2 linked regions of the Coturnix japonica genome follow. The protein of the gene in region 2 interacts with the protein of the main gene of each other region in a biochemical or structural test. Links are inferred from orthologs where the notes say so. Each region holds a gene or a part of one and is shown on either strand. Other genes may lie near its edges.

Region 1 (3,056 bases), on a different chromosome or scaffold from region 2:
CCTGCCATGAACAGGGACAGCACAGCTGGATCAGGCTGCCCAGGGCCTTAATCCAGCCTCCCCTTGAAAGTCTCCATCCACCACAACACTGCGTAACCTGTGCCAGTGCCTTACTGTTCTCACTGCAAAAGATTTTTTCCTTAAATCTAACCTAAATGTATCCTTCCTGAGTTTGAAGCCATTTCCCGTTGTTCTGTCGCCACAGTCCCTGCTAAAGTGTTTGTCCCCTTCTTTCCTGTGGCTTCCCTTTAGACACTTAAAGGCCTCTATTAGGTCACCTCACGTCCTTCTCTTCTCCAAGCTGAACAGCCCCAGTTCTCAGCCTATCCTCAAACCAGAGGCTTTGGTCTAGACTTTGTGAATAATCTGTGCTTTTCTTTTCTGTGGAACGTGTTCAGGGCCTTAAAGATTGCTGTACATTATTTTAGCTGTCAGCAATTCCAAAAAGCTGTTTTGGATGTTCAGTATCCAGTTAATGCTCATTAGAAATCTCAGAGTCTTTCCTAACAAGGCCCTGAAGTTCATCTGTTAAGAGTGGTTTAAGGTTTGGTCTGATGTTTTCCTTCAGAAAACTGGGACAGGGGTAGCTGCCTGTGATTTGAGTGGTAGAATTTCAGGTGTAACCATTGATTGATAGGTATAATACTGAGCAGGAATGGAAGGTCAATCTGACATGTATGTAGCCTTTGCTTCTGGACCTATTTGTTTGGCCAGCATTGATTTTAATTAAGACTCTTTCTTTTCTCTTGTTATGCAGGTGAAGACATTTTTTGAGTCAAAATCAGAAGAGAGCTCTAAACTGCGTTGTGTAAAAGAGGCGATTGACACAATTCAACTTAATATCCAGTGGATGGAGACGAACTTAGCAAAGCTACAAGAATGGCTGTAGTGCACTTAATGTTATAGTGTGCCAGCCAATAGGAAATCTGTGGACATCTGCTCCATTTCTTTTGCAAAAGCCAGGATGAAACCAGGCATCGCTGCAACATTGTTTGCACTATTAGAGAGTCTAGATAGCTCAGGGCATGTCTCACATAAAATTTGGTTTCCCTTGAAGCGTTTGTGTGCAGGATTAAATATTTATTCTGAAGCCATTTTCATCTGTAGACCAAACATCTCCGTGAGTGATGATACATCATTTTTTATATTTGAAGCTTACACCCTTAATTTGGAATCATGTTCCAGTTTCTCATCAGTGGAATTAATAATTATTTTTAAATGTAAAAATAAAGGTAGCTTCCACAGAAATTACAGAATCTGATGTACAACAGAGTCATACTCAAGATATCCATTAGTGGACTGAACCATTAACTGATGTTGCTGTGTTATTTGTGAGCAACTGCACAAAAGAACCATTGGAAGTGGCTGGAGGGTAGTTCATCTGTTAAAGTGACTACTGATTTCTCCACTTTTGACTGTTTAGTTTTCATTTCATCACTTGTTTCTGAGGTTCTGTAGTTAGTCAGCGTGTGTCAGCCACTTCATTAGGATAACTTTTTTTTTTCCCTTGCTTGTTACTTCCTATATACCTATATTGCAGGACAAATTGTGTATGCTGTTTCTTGTTTTTTCAACACAGTTCTAGGAATCTTCTCATTTAGTGCTTAATGGTTTCTTCTTACACTGTTGTGAAAAACCTGGTGAGACAAATCTGCAAATTCTTTAAAAGAAGGGGATCTAAAAGCAGAGATGTACCACATTGGAAAGGCAAAGTACCAGTTGTGCATTCTGTCTGCCAATCAGAAGCAGTGAAAAAGGCCATTTTTGAGGCTTCGTATATCCATACAACACATAGAAGATTAAGCGTACTTGTTTATGTGGAGATGTGATGATGTTTTTGAATGTTCCATTTCACTACTAATGCACCTTCTGTGGATTCTTGCAAACAGATTCACCTGTTGTCTTATTACAAGCCAATTACACGATCAGTTGTAAACTGCTGTGAAAGCGTTAACAGAAGTTGAATTGTTTGAACTAAATAAATTTAATCTACCAGTAAATTCTGAAGAAGGTGACACTTAGAATGTCACAGGTAATTCAGACTGAAGGCTTTGATTTATGAAATTGCAGCCTTGCCTGTACAGTTAATTCGCAGAAATGATAAGCTACGATAAACTTAAACCATGCTGTATTTTTCCCATCCTTTCAGTATGGGAAGTGCTTTCCTAGAAAAGAAGTTTCTCATTTTTTCTCATCAGCTCACATTAAAAATAACATTTGCAGTTCTAATCGTGAAGTTATCAGAAACAATGTTAGCTTTGAGAGTGTACAAATGGATGTTTGCCCAAGAGGCCCAGAAATGAACAGTTTTCACAGGTACTTCAGAAGGACTTGGTGGTGTAAGCACTGAAAGTAGGTCATAACATCCTGTTTCCATGCAAGTTATGCAATTAGAATTGTAATCAACTACGTTCTTTCGTGTTTTATTAGCCAGCTGTCACATCTTCTGGTTTTATTTCTGCATCTTATTTAAACCTCTGTGCTCTTTGCATAAATATTATCTCCATATTTGTATATTTGTGTGTACATAGTTATCAGTTTTGTTTTGCAGTCCCTTCTCAGTGTTAAATGCTTTCACTTTTCTATCCTCTCAGACTTGTTTTTCTTCAGCTCTGACTGGTACTGAGGCATATATAATTTTAGATGGAAACTGTGGAGGAAGATCCCCTCTTCTTCCTGACTTCTGCTGTAGGATTTTTTAACATTTTGTTCAGACGCTTTACTGATAGCTAGCTCTTTGCAAGGAAACTGCATGTGCAGCTCATCTTCAGAATGTGAACTGTACTAAGGAAGTCTGGAAGATCAGAGAGATTTTGGAGGAATTTCTGAATATTTTTTTCATTTTACTATTCTTTGGGGGTTTTTTGTTTTGTTTTTTATTTTATTTTATTTTTTTTAATTAAGCAATACTTTCACTATGCCATTTTTAGAGGACTTGATATTCTTTTATGTCATGTAATCTATAACTTCATTAAAAGTTGTACTGGAGTCTTTCAAGTGAAGTTCTTAAAAATGATCCTCTCTTTTTGAGATTATTGGGAACTGATGAGGGTTAG
Region 2 (3,500 bases):
AATATGCTGTAATATTGAATGTGAAAATTTGGAGAATGACTTGGATGCCATTTCCATACTAGCTTTAATTTTTATTTGAACAGTCTACTGCATTGGCAAGCCCTTTTCTAGAAATCTGGTTTTGATATTGTATCCTTTTTCCTCCTTTTCAAGCATGGAGCGTGTGTGAATGCAATGGATCTGTGGCAGTTCACTCCTCTGCACGAAGCAGCTTCTAAGAACAGGGTGGAAGTATGTTCTCTTTTGTTAAGTTATGGTGCTGACCCAACACTGTTGAACTGTCACAACAAAAGCACCATTGATTTGGCTCCAACGCCCCAATTAAAAGAACGATTAGCATGTGAGTATAAAATGAGATCAGTTCTTCAGTTTTAGATCACACTGTATGTTTAGGTTACCTGGACAGTGACCCAGTGGAAGTTGAATGCACCTGTGACTCTAGCAGGGGAAGAAGCCCCTTGAATTTCCTATCAGGAAATAAAATGATTGCTTTCCTCTAACTGAAAGAATCAATCTTATCGATCCTTCTAGTGCTAAAGAATGTAAAGTTCTCGTATGTCTTTCTCTTTAAAGATGAATTCAAAGGTCACTCACTGCTACAAGCTGCAAGAGAATCAGATGTTGCTCGTATAAAGAAACATCTTTCTTTGGAGACAGTTAACTTCAAGCATCCTCAAACACACGAGACTGCACTGGTAACATTTCTGAATTTCTTAAATGTGACTGACTAAATGTAGTAGGCAATAGTTGAGGACTCAGTTGCATTGTTAAACAGCATAGTTGTGTAATTCAGATCAGTGTTAAGCATAAAAAAAATAAATTGTTTAAGAGTAATGTTCAGACCAATACAAATTACCTCTTTTACTTAGGTTGTGTAAATTCTCTTCTATAGAATGCACTAATTTTGAGTATTAGCAAGTTACGTGTGTTAGCTTTGTAAAGCGTAGAATCTTCTGAGAGAATTTGGGAAAATACCAGAATGAATCTGAAGAGTTCATCTGGAACTTCTTAAGTTAATACGTTTTTTTGTGTATTTCTTTTTATGCTGACTCTGCACACGACCAGCTCTTAATAAGTAATAAAACCTTGTGTTGCTAACTGGTTATTAATGCTAATGGTTGTTAATGTTTTTTCTAGCACTGTGCTGCTGCATCTCCTTATCCTAAGAGAAAACAAGTATGTGAGTTGCTGCTGAGGAAAGGTGCTAACATTAACGAAAAGACAAAAGAGTGAGTTGCAAGTGAATCCTCCTAAATGTTTGTTCAGAAGATTTTGCAAAATGCCTTCTAAACTATATATATTTTTTTCTTTAAAGCTTCTTGACTCCTCTGCACGTGGCATCAGAAAAAGCTCATAATGATGTTGTTGAAGTAGTTGTGAAACATGAAGCTAAGGTATGAGCTAATATTTGTACTTTTCTTGTTGTTTAATTTCTGTTCTCTTTTCTTGTCACATGAATGGAGAGCAGAGTAAACACTTGGCTAAATTTGTTTTGGAAGTTATAGACATATACTCTTAAGACAGAGTGTCAATCCAGCAGTACACTTACAACTTTAAGACGTTGTCTTTGGTTGGTTTTATAGAGTGTGCAGTCATAATTCTTTATAGTGATAATTAAAAATGTGGAAGATCTTATTACGTGCTGTATTATCAAGAAGGATTTATACTCTGTTTAAAAAAAAGAAAAGATAGGAGGTGCATGAAGAAGAGGTTAGTCTGAATTGTGAAGCAGGTATACTGTTGTGTGCAGTAAAAATTACAGTGAAAGCAGAATGTTAAATCAGTACAGTGCTTTGACCCAAATTTCCAGAGAAAGAGAACGTAGAAAGAAGATGCTCTGTAATTTTGGGCTTGGGTTGCTCCAAAATGGTATTTTAAGTTCTTCATTGTGGAAACTTGGAAGTGGCCTTTGGATGTGGACTGCTGTAAAGTTTACAAAGTGATAATCAAAGCCAGTGGAACAGTAGGAAGTACAGATAACCTTTGGGTACAGAATTTTGAATGTTGGTTGCCTTGACTGAAACGTTATAAAGCCCTAAATCTGAAAGACTACAATAAGCCAATATAGATGCAAGTGACTTTACACACTGGCACAAAAGTTGCTTGCTTCATAGTGAAAATTACAGACTACTTCTATGTGTGGTAAAACTGCTGTAACTATTTGTTCACACGTGTTCATGCACGTGGGATTATTCCGGTAATTCTAACAGGAGTCTATTCTTCCTCTATAAATGCAGTTCTAACCTTATGAACAGCTATTGTTCATCTTATCTTTTGAAATGCCGTGACCTTTGAAAATATGCTGAATGTTATTCTAATCAGTGTAGAAAGAATACTTGTGAAACACTCCCAGCCAGCAGTGAAAATAGCTTTAAGTGTTTTGATGTTTTTATTTCTTTTAAGATTATATTCTAAAGATTCTGTTTTATCTTTAGGTTAATGCATTGGATAACCTTGGCCAGACTTCTCTTCACAGAGCAGCACATTGTGGTCACCTCCAGACTTGCAGGTTGCTGTTGAGTTCTGGATGTGATCCTTCCATCGTGTCTCTGCAGGGCTTTACAGCCTTACAAATGGGGAATGAAAGTGTGCAACAGCTACTGCAAGGTACAGCTGATTTATTCAAGATGGATTTAGGAAGTAACGTGATAGCAAATTTTACTTGGTATTTTCAGTTCTGTCAAAGAATAATAGTAAGCACAAACAACAACAAAAAAGTACATCTTACAAAAGGTAAAAGCTGTCTTCAGTTATTCAATTCTTATTCCATAACCAAATGCACATGGAAAGGTCCTGCTTATAGATACGGTTAAATCTCTAGTATTGGTATGCAGACTGTTGGAGCTGCTCAGAATGTTAAATGGTATAACCACCTGGAACCATTTTGTGTAAGTCCTGATATACAGAAGGGAGGGTACAGACTTGTAAGTGGAAAATGGGTTTAAAAAGAAAAAATGTAGAATTTATTGAGTAAGGTTTAGATACTATATGTGTAAGTAAGATTCTTCAGACTAGTCTGATTCTGAAACTTTGATTGGTTTCACAGCACTTTAAAATTGGTAGGAATCATGTTCCTGTAGGCAACTTTTTAAACACTTGTTGAGCTAATAGCTACAGCTGTACATAAAAAAAATACAAAACCTGTCTGTTATTGCTTTTTCCATTAAATCCTTGACTTCCTTTAAATTCCTGAAATACAGAAATTATTTCCTATCCTAAATTATTTCAGCTGTGTACAATTAATCATCTGCCATACAATGTCATTTCTTTTGCAGAAGGAATCCCTCTAGGTAATTCAGATGCTGATAGACAATTGTTGGAGGCTGCGAAGGCTGGTGATGTGGATACTGTAAAAGTAAGCTTAATCCTGTCCCAAAAATAAGTGGGAATTACATGCCAGACTGTCATTTCTCAGAAAAGACAAACAAATGAATAGCTTTTCTCACTGCTTTCTGTGAAGTTATGATTTGCTCTAATACCTTTCTATTGTGCAAAAACTA

What was found.
Region 1: the proteins of TNKS2 (region 2) and LNPEP form a complex in vitro, tested with the Homo sapiens proteins (4 studies listed by BioGRID and IntAct, with this or other methods). The link is inferred for Coturnix japonica from reciprocal best matches to the Homo sapiens genes TNKS2 and LNPEP.

What each region holds. Positions count from the first base shown.
Region 1 is NC_029547.1:45,767,852-45,770,907, reverse strand, and holds part of LNPEP (leucyl-cystinyl aminopeptidase), read left to right. Parts: intron 1-757; coding exon 758-889; 3' UTR 890-3,056. UniProt on the Homo sapiens protein: Release of an N-terminal amino acid, cleaves before cysteine, leucine as well as other amino acids. Degrades peptide hormones such as oxytocin, vasopressin and angiotensin III, and plays a role in maintaining homeostasis during pregnancy.
Region 2 is NC_029521.1:17,311,459-17,314,958, forward strand, and holds part of TNKS2 (poly [ADP-ribose] polymerase tankyrase-2), read left to right. Parts: intron 1-153; coding exon 154-340; intron 341-573; coding exon 574-695; intron 696-1,137; coding exon 1,138-1,229; intron 1,230-1,315; coding exon 1,316-1,394; intron 1,395-2,435; coding exon 2,436-2,607; intron 2,608-3,275; coding exon 3,276-3,355; intron 3,356-3,500. UniProt on the Homo sapiens protein: Poly-ADP-ribosyltransferase involved in various processes such as Wnt signaling pathway, telomere length and vesicle trafficking.